4 linked regions of the Mus musculus genome follow. The protein of the gene in region 1 purifies or fractionates together with the protein of each later gene. This does not show direct contact. Links are inferred from orthologs where the notes say so. Each region holds a gene or a part of one and is shown on either strand. Other genes may lie near its edges.

What was found.
Region 2: the proteins of Cstf2 (region 1) and Cpsf2 purify together in Homo sapiens (affinity purification with western blotting; 3 studies listed by BioGRID and IntAct, with this or other methods). This does not show direct contact. The link is inferred for Mus musculus from reciprocal best matches to the Homo sapiens genes CSTF2 and CPSF2.
Region 3: the proteins of Cstf2 (region 1) and Sympk purify together in Homo sapiens (affinity purification with mass spectrometry; 4 studies listed by BioGRID and IntAct, with this or other methods). This does not show direct contact. The link is inferred for Mus musculus from reciprocal best matches to the Homo sapiens genes CSTF2 and SYMPK.
Region 4: the proteins of Cstf2 (region 1) and Cstf3 fractionate together in Homo sapiens (co-fractionation; 4 studies listed by BioGRID and IntAct, with this or other methods). This does not show direct contact. The link is inferred for Mus musculus from reciprocal best matches to the Homo sapiens genes CSTF2 and CSTF3.

The regions. Positions count from the first base shown.
Region 1 is NC_000086.7:134,057,987-134,061,975, forward strand, and holds the start of Cstf2 (cleavage stimulation factor subunit 2), read left to right. Parts: upstream 1-1,189; 5' UTR 1,190-1,378; coding exon 1,379-1,436; intron 1,437-2,657; coding exon 2,658-2,736; intron 2,737-2,958; coding exon 2,959-3,128; intron 3,129-3,707; coding exon 3,708-3,844; intron 3,845-3,989. UniProt on the Homo sapiens protein: One of the multiple factors required for polyadenylation and 3'-end cleavage of mammalian pre-mRNAs. This subunit is directly involved in the binding to pre-mRNAs.
Region 2 is NC_000078.6:101,985,943-101,989,527, forward strand, and holds part of Cpsf2 (cleavage and polyadenylation specificity factor subunit 2), read left to right. Parts: intron 1-1,315; coding exon 1,316-1,431; intron 1,432-2,690; coding exon 2,691-2,878; intron 2,879-3,585. UniProt on the Homo sapiens protein: Component of the cleavage and polyadenylation specificity factor (CPSF) complex that play a key role in pre-mRNA 3'-end formation, recognizing the AAUAAA signal sequence and interacting with poly(A) polymerase and other factors to bring about cleavage and poly(A) addition.
Region 3 is NC_000073.6:19,048,330-19,051,787, forward strand, and holds part of Sympk (symplekin), read left to right. Parts: intron 1-119; coding exon 120-228; intron 229-510; coding exon 511-611; intron 612-1,050; coding exon 1,051-1,141; intron 1,142-1,608; coding exon 1,609-1,710; intron 1,711-2,264; coding exon of another isoform or gene 2,265-2,428; exon of another isoform or gene 2,429-3,426; intron 3,427-3,458. UniProt on the Homo sapiens protein: Scaffold protein that functions as a component of a multimolecular complex involved in histone mRNA 3'-end processing. Specific component of the tight junction (TJ) plaque, but might not be an exclusively junctional component. May have a house-keeping rule.
Region 4 is NC_000068.7:104,589,178-104,593,363, reverse strand, and holds the start of Cstf3 (cleavage stimulation factor subunit 3), read right to left. Parts: upstream 2,881-4,186; 5' UTR 2,689-2,880; coding exon 2,662-2,688; intron 1-2,661. UniProt on the Homo sapiens protein: One of the multiple factors required for polyadenylation and 3'-end cleavage of mammalian pre-mRNAs.

The sequences.
Region 1 (3,989 bases):
GGCTTAGTTGTGAGCACAAGAACCTCAGTGCCGCCCACAAAAACTAGAACGTGGAGCAAATACAAATGTCAGCTTGTATCAGAATTAGCTGCCTAGTTGGGAGAGAGCCATAGAAGCCATAGAAGTTATGCTTGCACCTGAGCACGCACAGCATGGCTCTTAGAGCCAATGTCTGCTTTCTCCAGTAGAGCTCATACAATGTGTTTCTCACAGAAAGATCGGCACTGATGGAGTGAGGGAGGGGTTCCCTGGAGCAGAGCCCTGCACGTGAGAGTATGTTTGCTTTTTCGGGCTCTTCTTCCAGTAGTGGTGTGTCACTCGGCATCCAGAAACCAAAACCACTCCAGTATAGTTCCAAATGTCCTCCCTCACAAGGGAAAGAGCTGTGCAGCTATTACTTAACAATGTGCGGATAAAAAAGACGGTATGGCTCTACCAAAGGCTGTCCTAAAACTACTTCATTTAACTATATTTCCCAGATTGCATAGCCCTGAGAACCACCAGAGGCACTCGTTGAAAAATGACTCTCCAGTTTACTGTGTAAATCTCACTCTCTAGATTGGAGTGGAGGTCCAAGAAAACCGCTATTCATAGTTAAGTACCCAAGCAAATACTTCGTCTAGATGAGATTTTGAAAGCATTAGGTGAGGAACCTACGTCGCCATTACATATTCATTTAGCGAAAATTCACCACTCCGAACTGTGACTCATGAAAACTCTGATACTGTGCTTCTTACAGAGCTGCAAATATCTGGCTTTGGATAATTCTATTATCTAAGGTATTCTATCAGTCACATAGTGATTTTAAATGGAATTTCCTTTCTTTACCAGAATTACATCTTGAGACATGTTCCATAAAGTGTGTGTGTGTGTGTGTGTGTGTGTGTGTGTTCTATTCCTCTAATATGGGATGTGTTTTGCTGGAGATTTAATCTAGGACCTCATACATGCTATCTATGTAAGCCTTCTACAAATGAACCACATATCCAGCTCGCGGAGTTAATGTTTGTAATTGCTTGGGTGGGCGCCAGCGAAAAGCGACCTTCTGCAAGAATGGCTTCTTACTGCAGGCTCCAAGGCGTCACATTAGCCTAGCCCCACCCCCTTATGACGTCGTCTCGGGCCTGGCCCCGCCCCGCGGCACGCCGCTCACGCCGCTTCTCCTGAGCCTCCGCCTTTTCCTGCAGCCTGTTGCCCCTCCCCCGGGGCCGAGCCGCCTGGCGGGAACGACCGCGGTGAGGCGCGCGGCCGGGCTCCGCGGCGGCGCTTCGGGGCCAGGTGCTTCCGGCTCCCACCGGACGGAGGCGGGCTGGGCCGTGGTCTCGCTCGGCCGCGGAAGTGTGCTTTAGCGCACCGGAAGCCACCTCGGGGGTGAGCCATGGCGGGTTTGCCAGTGAGAGACCCTGCGGTGGATCGTTCCCTGCGCTCCGTCTTCGGTGAGAGGATTTTCCGAGGCGCCTCGGCTCGGGGAGGGACGTCCCCTGCGGTCCCCCGTCTGGAGCGGAGCGGGTGTCCCCGGCGGGCGGGCTCGCTGCTGTCCTTTGGCACTGCAGCCCGGCGGACTCGTGGACACACACGATCCCCCGCCCCCGCCATCTCCCCGGCTCCGGCTCCGGCTCCACGGTACCGGAGGTTTTGCCGCAGTGTGGCTCAGGGAGCCAGCCTCGAGCCGGTGTCTTCTCTTGCGGTTTCTTTTCCCCCCTTCATGATTCTCAGTTATTTTTTAGGAGAAAAGGTGCGTGGAAACAGAGTGTCCCTGTTCCGTGCTGCTTCTCCTACCCCAAAATACAGATTTTTATTCTGAATCCATCGACCCCCATAGCCACTTCCCGCCCTCTCATAAACGTGTTATGTGGCTTGCTTTTTTTTACTTGGTTCCATCCAACCATAGTGGTAGCGGCCACCTGGCATCTTGAGATGGGTTGTGAATGAATGAATGAATGAATGAATGATTAAATGATTAAAGCGCAGGGCGATTTCAGAGGAGCGCAACTAAGCAATTCTTAGGGTTTAAATGAGTTATTTCTAAGATACGTGCATTGCTTTTAAAGCACGTTTGGGGGCAGTAGAATTGCTTCGAATTCAAGGCCAGCCTAGGTTACCTCACAAGACCAGCCAGAGCTACATAACAAGATTCTTTCTCAGAACAAAAAAATAACAAGAAATAAGCACTGTTTGAAAGAGACACGACAAAACGGTCTCGTCATCGTGAGGGTCTTAATTAAGCACAGGATAATTTTTAAGCATCCTGTGCTGTATTCACGGCTTTTCCTCCATACGTGTGTGTGTGTGTGTGTGTGTGTGTGTGTGTGTGTGTGTATACATGAAAATAAGGAGACAATCCCCCCACTGTTAAGGGCTTTGAGGAAATATCAGTGTTTAAAGATTTTACTTCCAGCACAGTTAGGGACAAATAAACCTTTTATTTGTCATATCACTACGAGAACTGTTTGAAAGGTACCTTTTTAAATGTACTCTCTGGCTCATTTCCCTTGTTATAAGATCTGAAAAGAGACAGTGGTCGAGGGGGGGTTTGGAGAACGCTGTTCAGTCAGTTATTGCCTATGTGTTGATGCAGATAGAAAGCCTACTGTTCACTTGCTCGCTCAAGAGCTCAGTTACTGCCCCAAAATTTTAATACGTTGTCTCTTCTTTAGTGGGAAACATCCCTTATGAAGCTACTGAAGAACAACTGAAGGACATTTTCTCTGAGGTTGGGCCTGTTGTTAGTTTCAGGTGAGATCCTCTTTCAGGAGTCTTCATTGTGAGAGTCTTCAAAAGCACAAATTTTGGGGGTACATGCACATGCTCGATACTTCATATCCAGTCTTGCCTGAAAGATTTCTTTCATTAAAAATGTTTCCGAGCCAAGAAAGCAGTCAGAGTGGGCTAAATAAGACTATGGCAGTGTTAGCAGGAAGCCTGTGTGAGTTCCTAATACTTGGTTTTGGTCTGCAGATTGGTATACGATAGGGAGACAGGAAAACCAAAGGGCTATGGCTTCTGCGAGTACCAAGACCAAGAGACAGCACTTAGTGCCATGCGGAACTTGAATGGGCGTGAATTCAGCGGGAGAGCACTTCGAGTGGATAATGCTGCCAGTGAAAAGAACAAGGAGGAACTGAAGAGTGAGTATAAGGCCCAGCCATGTGCATCACATGAGAGTAAAGATGGGCGAGTGGAAGCTTTGCATTTTCCGTGATATTTTAGAAGGTGCTGAGGTAATGAGCGGAATGAATAGCTTCTTAGACCTGAGGCACCTGAATGAGGGGTTGACTATGTTTAAGAAACTTGGCTGTAGTGATCTTTCTGTTCCTTAGGAGTTAATTTCCAGTGTAAGGGACATGCAGATCTACTAAGCCATCAGTTATTTCTCTGTGTTGCTAGACTAGTAACTGGTGGGGAATCCTCAAGACATTTCCACAAATACTCTGTTGAAATGATAGCCTTTGTCGGTTTCAGTGCTTTTCTTCTGGAGTGACTTATGGAAGAAGTAAATGATGATATTACCATCACTGTCGTAGCTTTCCACTAAGAACAGAAGGTAGACCCTCACTTTCCTTCGCAGAAAGATTTTTGAGTGGCTCAGCTCCAAAGAGTTCCAAGTTATTGGTTGGTGCTTCCAGCAGCCCTAGGAAATAGATACTTGAAATGACTTGGGTTGTTACTTGACCATCCTGACTTTCTTCTACTTTCTTCCTAATCAGGCCTTGGCACTGGTGCACCTGTCATAGAGTCACCTTATGGAGAAAGCATCAGCCCTGAGGATGCCCCTGAATCCATTAGCAAAGCAGTTGCCAGTCTTCCACCAGAACAGATGTTTGAGTTGATGAAACAAATGAAGGTGGGAGGAGGCATTCGAGTATCAACGAAATCATTCGCATCAGATTTTCAAGGAGTTAATGGATATAATTCCCTGAGCTTAAATAGTTGATACTGTAGGCACCATTTCTTCCACATTTTGTACACTGGGTATTTTTATACATAAG
Region 2 (3,585 bases), on another chromosome or scaffold:
ATTTGGTATTGAGAAAAATACTATAAATCCTGTGTGTCCGTGCCCTGTATGTGGTTCCTAGAGGCCTTCTTTGTTATGTCTGTGCATTAAGCTCAGGGGTGTCTTGTGTTAGATTCCAATCATCTCAAGCTTCACATTGTGAAGCATTTAAGGACTCACAGAATCTAGACTTGTAGTTGTGGGTGAATGAGAAGGATGGGAAATGAAGTAAATGGTGAATGAAGTCAGATGAATTAAGGTGACAGTAAATTCTAGGTGGGTTTAGAGTTAACTAGAAACAGAAGCTGTATTGTGTCCGGCCTCTGACTTGGAAGAGATTGTACACACAAAGGTAAAGGCTCAAGTAACTTACAAAAGAAGTAATACATTTGATTATATATAAATTTAAATTAAATATTTAAATTAAAATAGTAAAGCCATTAATCAGAGAAAATGCAGTAGCAATTAGCCAACTACTTACCTATGTATAAGACTAGGCATTGCTCAAGAAATCACAAATACACTGACTGCAAGATGGCCAAGTGTTAGTCACAAAGCAGACACTGAGATAACGTGTACTTGTTATGTGTTTAGATTATCTTAAAATACTGATAACTTTCCAGAAAAGGTTACAATACAATAATTGTATATTCTATTGAATACATTTCATGGAAAAATTTTTAAAAATACAGCCAGGTGTGGTGGCACACCTCTGTGATCCCAGTACTTGAGAGCTGGAGACAGGAGGTTGGGATTTCAAAAACCATCTCTTTCAAAGGTAAAGTGGTGAAAAAGTGCGTTCAGATAAAAATAAATGGTCAGATGAATACAAAATGGTACAGATCTCACAGGAAGTTTTTACAGTTGTGAGACAGGTGAGCGCCTTGCTATGCTCTATGCCTGTAATTCCAGCGTTTGCGAAGCTGAGGTAGGAGGAGCACACCGTCACCTAGGCTGTGTGTGTGTGTGTGTGTGTGTGTGTGTGTGTGTGTGTGTGTGTGTGTATACCCCAGTTTTCTAAAAAACCAGCTTCAGGCAGAAATGTTTTACAACTTCTAAAAGTTAGATTTAGAAAAATGTTCATGTCACAGAAAAGTCTAGAATATAAAATGGATATATAGAAATATACATGTGTTAGATGCATATAAGGGTACAGAGAAAAACTTGTATTTTCAGAAAGATTATGTCCAATATGTCATATCACCTATCTTGAAGAGGTGGTCCTTGTTAGTGTGAGGGAGGCCTTATGAAAGCGGTTTCTTATTTTTGTAATAGGTGAAGCTATTACTGTTTATTTGAAATGACAGATATTCTTTGTCTTTAAACTTTGTTATAGCCACTTAAATGGATGTTCCCTGGAAATGCTAAGCAGACCCTCTCTACTTATCACAGACTCATTTAATGCTACTTACGTGCAGCCTAGAAGGAAGCAGAGAGATGAGCAGCTCCTGAGTACGTATGCCTACCGTTCGTCTGTCGGAAAAGATTGGCTAACACTAATATTTTTCTAATTGCATTTTATACATTTTCTATGTGTATGTATGTATGGGCACATGCTTGCCACAGGGTACATGTAGAGGTCGGAGGGCATCTTGTGGAAGTCTGTTCTCTCCTCCCACTATCTGGATCAAATTAGGGTCATCAGGCTGGGCAACAAGAGCCTTAACCCATTAAACTGTCTTGCTGGCCCCATGACTCTTGTGTTATTTTAAAGAAATGTTAATGTGACCGGTTCAGCATGCTCTCTCTGAAGGTTGGCCTCCTCTGCCACTCTGCTCGTAGTCAGCTGTCCAGGCATCCACTGGTCTCTGTCTGTAGAACAACTGCATATGTACAGACCAGAAGGGCAGTGAGCCAGAGAGAAGTGACGGTGTACAAGGTCTGCTGGCTGGGTGTTGGGTGTTCTGAGGGTTATCTTGTGTTTACAGGGGTGCCTCTGAGCCATCACGTCTTGCTTCTGCTTTGACTCATTCTGCTGTGCTTTGTTATATTTTAGAAGCCATATGTGATTGCAACAGGAAAGCTGGGTTCCACTTTTAAATGTATGTGCAAACACTGATCTGTCTACTTACTAATCCACTAACCTTAGAAAACTCTTCAATTCGTGTGTGAGCGTGAGTGCGTGAGTGCACTTGCCAGGTAGAGTGTATCTGTATGTTTACGTGTGTGCTTGCCAGCTAGAAGTTTACCTGTAGCCAACTCTTCAAGGTGGCTTTGAGAACAAAGTCATCTATTGCTAGAGATGGTTTTTGTTTTTTAAGATTCATTTATTATATTTATATGAGTACACTGTAACTGTCTTCTGACAAAACATAATAGGGCATCGGATCCTATTACAGATGGTTGTGAGCCACTATGTGGTTGCTGGGAATTGAACTCAGGACCTCTGGAAGAACAGTCTCTGGAAGACCGTGCTCTTAACCTCTGAGCCATCTTCTCTCCAGCCCAAAATGCTTTTTTTTTTTCCCTTGGAAAAAAAAAACATGTTTTGTGTTTTATTCTACATGCATGCATACAAAACGTGTCGTGTATTTTATTCCTAGGAAAACATATTCAATCGAGTGAGAAGTAATTGTGTTAATCTGAACCTTTCTATGTGTCCTAGTGACCACTTACGCAGTCTTTATGAAAGGCAGGCAGCGGGAAGCTGTGCTGTGCTTACCTTTGTTACAAAGCTCATGCTTCATAGGGTTCTTCTGTTCTTGTTTAAGCAAACGTCCTGGAAACGCTTCGGGGCGACGGGAACGTGCTGATAGCTGTGGACACAGCAGGCAGAGTTCTGGAGCTTGCTCAACTCCTGGATCAGATTTGGAGAACTAAAGATGCCGGGTTGGGCGTTTACTCGCTGGCTCTCCTGAACAACGTCAGTTACAACGTGGTGGAGTTTTCTAAGTCGCAGGTTTGTTCTCCTCGTGCACCACTGAGTAAAAAGGTTGAGTGTAGTGTTTGAATTGCCCTTCAGATTTTATTTTCCTGCTAATAATAATAGTAGCCGAACATTATCTTCTTACTGTCCTGTCTTCTTCACATACATTTTTCTTTTAAACATGAAGTCTATTTTTGTCTCCACTTTGCAAATTGAACAAGTTGCTTGTTTTCTTACTCTTGGTTTTCTGATCTATAAAAATGGGGGTAAAAATAAAATATCAATGCTAGAATTCATTTTTTTTTCTTGTTTTGTTTTTTTGTTTTGTTTTTTTTTTCTGTTTGTTTTTTTGTTTCTTTCGAGACAGGGTTTCTCTGTGTAGCCCTGGCTGTCCTGGAACTCACTTTGTAGACCAGGCTGGCCTCGAACTCAGAAATCCACCTGCCTCTGCCTCCTGAGTGCTGGGATTAAAGGCGTGCGCCACCACGCCCGGCCATTTTTTTTTTTTTTTTAAGATTTATTTATTTTACTTATACAAGTACACTGTAGGTGTCTTCAGACAGACCAGAAGAGGGCATCAGATCCCTTTACAGGTGGTTGTGAGCCACCATGTGGTTGCTGGGAATGGAACTCAGGACCTCTGAAAGAGCAGTCAGTGCTTTTAACTGCTGAGCCATCTCTCCAGCCTGAATTCATCATTCTTGAAATGAGCTCTTCCCTTCCAAGTGACAATCCCTGGG
Region 3 (3,458 bases), on another chromosome or scaffold:
TATCAAGGCTCCAGGCTGACAGTAGGAGAGACCGGGAGCCCAGTAACCGTTACCACCCCAGCTTCTGCAGCCTCTTCAGATACTCCTCATCACCTGCTCTTGCTCCCCCCTGCATCTAGATCCGAGGGATGGGCATGAACTCTCCAGAGCTGCTGCTGCTGGTAGAAAACTGTCCCAAGGGGGCAGAGACGCTGGTCACCCGCTGCCTGCACAGCCTCACCGACAAAGGTACCTGGGGGCCCTGCCTTCTACCATCCATCCCACCTGCTCTTGCCCTGTAGGGGCTAGAGCTGCTGTGTCTCTAGTGCCTGTGCCCCTCTAGTTCTTCTGTCCTTGGGCCTCACTCTGTAGTGAAAATATATGAGCTCCATTTAGGGAAGGAGAGGCTGGGATTCCGCTTTGGGACTGTCCTGCCCCTCCCATAAACTTAACTCTGTCCCCTAATCCGTGCTCATCTCCCCTGGCCCCTCCCTGTCATCTCAACTCAGCTTTTCTCTGTCTTCCCCAAAGTGCCACCATCCCCAGAACTGGTGAAGCGGGTCCGAGACCTGTACCACAAACGGCTGCCTGATGTGCGCTTCCTCATCCCCGTGCTCAATGGGTTGGAGAAGGTAGGGAAGGAGGAGAGGGACAGGTGGTCAGCCCACTTCATGGCAGATGGGCTGGAATTGCACACCTAGTTTTGAAGTAGGTCCCCAGACCCATCTCAGCCTCGTCAGTCACTGTTCAAGTGTCACAGTGGGGTGTGGCTCTGTGTGTGTGTGTGTGTGTGTGTGTGTGTGTGTGTGTGTGTGTGTGTGTGTGTGTGTGTTTGTGTGTACTATAGTTCCTGGCCTATGGGTAACACCCCAGCTTATGTCCATGGTAAATTTTGGAGCCAAGGATGGTTCATCACCATGTGGGTGTGAATGGGGATGACACTGTCCACCAGAAGTAGCCAATAGCTTTGGGGAGAGGGGGACCAAGTGTCATGACACTTAGTGTCCTCTGTGAAGTGGGTGGATGTGGGGCCACCCAGCCCATCATCACTCTCATCCCCCATCCCCTTAGAAAGAGGTGATCCAGGCGCTGCCCAAGCTCATCAAACTCAACCCCATTGTGGTGAAGGAAGTCTTCAACCGCCTGCTAGGCACTCAGCACGGTAGGTGCCCTCCCTCCTCGCCAGCTTACCTCCCAGCTGCACTGAGGCTCTCATGGGAATGGCCTTAGAGACCAGAGTCTCTGTTGTCCACCATGGTGAGAAACAAAGAAAAGTATTTGAGGTGGAAAAATAGCCAGAGATGTATATGAATGACTTCCTCATCCCTGGTCCCTGCGGCCACATACAGACATACCAAGTTTATGTGCTTATGTAGAGTTAGTCCTAGGCTGGTGGGCCTTCCCTGCCTTTTGGGTACACAGCCCAGTGCACTGAGGAGACAGAGGGGTCACAGCAAGGAAGCTCTAAAAAGGTGGTGAAGACTTGCAGCCACTTCATTTAGTCTCCTGTCCCCCAGCCCAAGAAGCAAGAGGGTTCCTCATTTGTATTTACCCAAAGCTGGCCTAAGATCCAGCTCTTTGCTGAGGCCCCTGTCCTGTCTCTCTTCCCCCTATTGCCACCCATTGCAGGTGAGGGGAACTCGGCCCTGTCCCCCCTGAATCCAGGAGAGCTGCTGATTGCATTGCACAATATTGACTCTGTGAAGTGTGACATGAAGTCCATCATCAAAGGTGAGGCACCCCTGTTTCCCCAGGACCCAGCTCCCACAGACAGGCAGGGCCTCAGTCACCCACATGGTTCTACTGCATCGAAGACTATGGCCTGATGCCTGACCTGTCCCTTCCCGGTCTCCACCCATAGCACATACACACATGTGCCTGCCTGGGCACCAGGTAGTCCTCGGGAGTACAGGACATCCCTCTTCCTACCTACCCCGAGGAACCCAGGAAGCAGGGCCCACGGAGGCACAGGGCTTCTGCAGACGAGCAGATGGCAGGCCTGAGCTGGGGCGTCAGAGACGTCCATAGTTGGGGCTTGGTGATGCTCTGGCAGGCTTCCTCTGCCCAGGCATCTCCTCCGAGCCAGGCTCTCCCTTCATGCCACAAACCCTGCCACCCACATCTCCTGGTAAGTATGCTCTAGATAGGGCACAAAATTCACAGAAGCTAAATCAGTTGCCAGGGTCACACAGTCTGAGCCAGACTGGAGCCAAACCAAGAAGGGCTCTGCTCACGAGCCTCCCCTGGGAGGAAGCCATCATTTCCCTCTTTCTTTCCTCCTCTAGAGACTTGGCCCAGAATCGGCTCTGTCCCAGGAGGGCCCTGCTGTCATCTATCAGTTAACCTCTCTGCTGACTTTAGGGTAGCTTCTTCTCTGTCCCTGCCTTTCTTGTTCTGCCTGACGTGGCTGCTTCAGGGACCGCTTCCTAGCCTTCCTCAGCAGCCCTGACAACGGGCTTGTGAAGACAGGGCAGAGGAGGCTGCAGGGAAAGGGGAGGGGTATCAGCTGGGATTGTGGGACACACACACACACACACACTTTTTACCATGCTGGGAATGAACCTAGCGCAGCCTCCCATGTGCTAGGTAAGTGTTCTATCTCTATCCACACACTTGCTTCTTGATCCTTAAATGCAATGAAAATAACCTTGACTCTATAGCAGCCCATTCCCAAGGGCAGTTTGAACATAATTGGAAGGGATTTAGAAACACAGCCATCGTGGATCCAGAATAGAAATCTAGTCACAAAGAGAGAAGAAAGGGCCCTGCCAAAAGTCATGCGGATGGCTGAAGACAGGCATCTACCTTGCACAGTCTGGCAGTTTCTTTGGGAATTCTTGTCAGTTCACAGCCTCTAGGCTTCCTAGGTACCCCACAGATCTCACCACATCTCCCTTGTCCCATCAGGTGAGAAGCCCTGGCCTCCCTGGGCCCCAGCACAGTGCTGGGGACACACTGGGACACTGATAGCTGATCCAGCCTGGCCAGGACTCAGGAAGGGCTTTCTCAAGTGGGGTTACCTTCAGCGAGCAGACCCAACAGACATGAGCCTGTCAGATCTAGGGCTGAGCAGAGGTTTCCAAGTGAGGGAGGAAACCGGCTTGGCCTCATGCACCCTCTGGGGTGGAGGACAGGCTGACCTTTTGGACGACCTCTTGGGCTGCTGAGTGGGAAAGGCTAGAGAGGCTGGGAAACACAAGAGGCTGGGTAGACAAGCTGGTGTCAGGCCCATGTGGGCAGCAGTGGAACACGCCTCCACAGCAACAGGCACCTCAAGTTCTGCCAGTCCTTTCTCCTCTGCCCTTCAGCCTATGTGTTTGCTGCAAGGTCCCTCCTCTCCCTATGGGCCTCCTCTTTACAGGATCATCCTTGCCTGCATCGGCCTCTCAGGGATGGGGGAGGTGGGCTTTCTTCTTGCTCAATAAAGACTTCCTGATTGACACACTCACATGGCCAGTGGTGTTTGGGGAAGGGCTTCA
Region 4 (4,186 bases), on another chromosome or scaffold:
CAGGTATTACAGGTCTTTTGTCAAAGCCTGGCTTAATTAGTGCTTAGGAACTTAGGTTGGATTCCAGAGCCTTGTGCGTGTGACACAAGCACTCTTACCAACTGTGCAACATCCATAGCCCTATAAATCACACTCTTGAGGCAATGGCAAATCTGAATATGGACATGTTAGAAATACATCATTATTGAGCCAGGTGCACTGGAAAGAACCTATGATCAGTACTTGGGAGGTTGAAGTTCAAGGTCATTTATCAGCTACAAACTGAGCCAGTTTGCCCTCAAAGTATACAAGACCCTATCTCAAAAAAATAATACAGAAGCCAGGATAGGTTCCATATGCCTTTAATCCCAGCACTTGGGAAGCAGAGCCAGGCAGATCTCTGAGTTGGAGGTTTGCCTGATCTTCCAAGAGCTGTTATACAACAACATCAACAAAAGCAATCCCCCTCACTCCCCAATAAGGCATTACTAGATTTTGAGTAGGATAATGGTATGGTAGTTACATAAAAGCATTAATGTCATTATATAAAAGAATGTTGAAATAGTTTGGACTGAAATGTGATAAGTCAACTTTCAAAGAAATGTGTATGGAGAAAGAAAATATGTCAAGGTTAGAGGTATATGTCAATAGTAGAGCTTGCCTAATATGAGGAAGTTCCTAGCTTTTAAGCCACAAGAAATATGTGTATGAATACATACTTGCAATACTATATATATATATATATATATATATATATATATATATACACTCGTGTGTGTGTGTGTGTGTGTGTGTGTGTGAGAGAGAGAGAGAGACAAAACCTGTAACCCTGAGAGAGAGAGAGAGAGAGAGAGACAGACAGACAGACAGACAAAACCTGTAACCCTGCTGGATTTGGTGAAAATTATAATGAGTGTTCATGAGTTTTCCCTTCAACTTTTGTTGTAAACTGCACAATAAAATTCAAAGGAGGAATGCCTGTTACAGATGCTGAAGCTGAAAGATTGCAATGAGTTCAAGACCTGCCTGAGTTGCACAGTACTCCTAGATTAAAAAAGAAAAAAAAAAGGCTAGATGTGCATGTACCATCTTTACTCCTAGCACTCAGCAAGGCAGAGGTTCAAAGCCAGACTGGTCTATGTAGCAAGTTCCATGCCAGCCAGGCCTACATAGGGGCAACTGTCAAAATAAAAGGGGTTTGGAGAATGGAGGTTTATAAAGTCTCATCACAGTTCTCATAGAAAACATCACACACTGTGTTACTAAGGCTTTTAACTCAGTGGTTGATTGCTTCCCTGCATGCATAAGGCCCGGGGTTCAACCTCTAGCTGGGGTGGAGCAGGATGACCCACAACAAAAACTAAAACCCGCATAGTTCTAAAACAAAAGCATGGCAAATTTTTGTCTTTACAAATTTATATAAAACAGTGAATTTCAGACACATCCAATGAAACCTCAACACCACTCCTTCACTTTCAGAAAATAAAAATGCCAGCCCGGTAAGAGTAGAGTAAAATAAACAGTTTTAGAAAAATAGTTCAAAGACACTGCATTCGTGGGCACCCTGACTTTAGATAAAATGCAAAAGCACTGCCAAGACTTGGAATTAAATTGGTCCTCAAGCGTTTCAGTCACCAAAGTAATTAAGTTCTAATTTGCCTACACTTCATTAACATACAGTCCTATTTTACCTCATCTGTCAACCTCCAATAATTTCTATTTTATTAGCTGGGGATTTGGGAAAAAGAAAAGAAATAAAAATACAAGCGTATTTCATTGCTATAGCAATAAGAAATTTAGGACTTTGTTTTCTTTTAAAACTAAATATACGTGGATCAAGATCAAAACACACACCTTTCAAAAACTCAGTTTTGTTTTTTACAGTAAAAGCCAAACACTAGCCTACAAAATTTAGGATATAAAAGAGCAAAAGAACCAAACATGGAGATGGACGCCTGGAGGCCAAGGAAGCAATCCTGTCAGAAGGTCCTGCCTAGTCAGGGCTACACTGTGAAAACCTATCCAAAACAAACAAACAGCCAAACAGCAAAAGGGTGAGATCTCCTATCTAAAAGTCCCATTTGTAAAATACTTATGTATCATTCATATCTAACCATCCAAACAGATGGTGCCTACAGTGACTAAAGCACATTTCGAGTTTTCAGTTTACCAAATTCTGCAATGTTTGCGTGGTCGTAAAAGCAAAAATAAAGTGTTCCTAAACGAGAGGGGAAGAAAGCGAATCCACAAAATTCCCCCAAAGCTCGGAAGAGCCGTGGCTCTTTTTACCTTCGCTCTCTCGGGGGCCGAATTTTCCAGACTGATTTCGTTATTTCTGGGGACAGAGGACTGGGGGGCAGACGAGGAAAACACTGCCAGCGCAGATACACGTTAGAACAATCTGGGACTACCGGAACACTAAAGTGGTATGAAATACACCGTCCCGACCGAAGAAACTGCAATGGCCAGGGCGAAGCGACGTCTCTGCCATTGTCTAAGTCCCATACTTATTCGTACGAACGCCACAGAGAAGCCCAAACCTGGGAGACTTCGGGGGATGCGCTCCCGATCCCCGGGCTCACTAGCTCTTCAGGGCCCTTGCTCACGCGAACGGGGTGCTCGCACCCACAGGGCTAGAGAGAGAAGAGGTCGCCACGAGGCCCCACCGCTCCCGTTCCTCACCTGCTCCGCGGCTGCGTCTCCTGACATGGCCTCGGGGGACTACAACGTACGCACCAGCCGGCAAAGGGAAGCTAGAAAAGGAAAATTAAACTAAAGGCAAACCCCACCAAAACCAGGAACACTACCCCTGTCCCTCAGAGCCAAAGCCGCCGCCAAATCCGCTGCCGCCGCCGCCGCCGCCGCCGCCCACTCAGATTTGAATTAAAATGGCTGCGCCCCAGCCGGCAGAGGGGGTGTGAGGCGCTTCCGTATTCACTTCCGGGACAGTGGGCGGGGCTGAGGCTTAACTCCCGGATTATTGGAGGTGCACAAGCGCAGAGCGCTCCCAGAGGGCGGGCTCAGTGCGTGAGCTAACGTCACGCCCGGAACTGATGACGCCGCTGTCCAGATTTCCGAGGCCGGCCGGAAAGATCCACCCGATTGGCCTGGGAGCTCCCGCGCTTCTTGGAATTTCACGACTGAGTTGCAGAGCCGAGCTCCTCCCTGCTGAAGCCTGACTGCCAATCCGCTCTGTACAGGCAAACTGACCATTTTAGGGAATAGCGTTGAGAGTTAGTGAATACCTCTCGTGTTTCGGGAATAAGGAGTCTACTAACGCGTTCTGTACGTTTTCTTTTCTTGGGGAGGAGAGGAACACATCAAGTCTGTTTTTTGTTTTTTTGTTTTTTTGTTTTTTTGTTTTTTGTTTTTTTTTTTTTACTTTTGCTGTCACCGTTCACTATTAGACCGGGGATTTTAGTTTAGCGTCTCACCACGATCTCTTATCTGCAAAATTGCGTTGATAGTGGCGAAGGAATGTTGCTTTGCATCCAGACTTCTCACCTACTATAGAGGAGTAGACTGGGCAATTTGCATTATCTGCGTCTCTGTTTCCTTGCCTAAAGATAGGAATAGCAACAGCAGCTAAGATTTAACTTAAAAGGTAAAAGCTCTTATTTGGCTTACGAGTAACCAGGAGGTTATTGAGCGGTGGTGGCACAAGTCTTTAATCACAGTACTCGGGAGACAGAGGCTGGATGGATCTCTGAGGGCAGCCTGGTGTGTAGAGCCCACGGACGAGGGCCATACAATGAGATGCATATATCTTTTTAAGCAAATAGATGCATGAATCAAATGTACATATATTGAGTCACTGCAACATTTGATAATGGAGTCTGAATATTTCAGAAGTCTCCCTCAATGGGGCGTTACTCTTTTAAACTGTTGCTGATGTGACTGACTTAGAAAAATATCCACAATGAGCCAGGATGGTTCAAAGAGTGGAGGTGCTTGCCGTGATGGCCAAAAAACTTGAGTTTGATCCTGGCATCCAATGAGTTGACAGGATAGAACCGACTCCAGGAAGTTATTCCTTGACCTCCACACATGCACTATGGCTTGCAAACTCCTGCACTTACAAACACACAGGCACTCACAAGATAAATATATAAATCTAAAAATAGCCACAAAATTAAGCCAGAAATATAAAATAGCTTATGTGTATATATGTGTGCATGTGTGTGTGCACGCCTATGCGTGCGTGTAT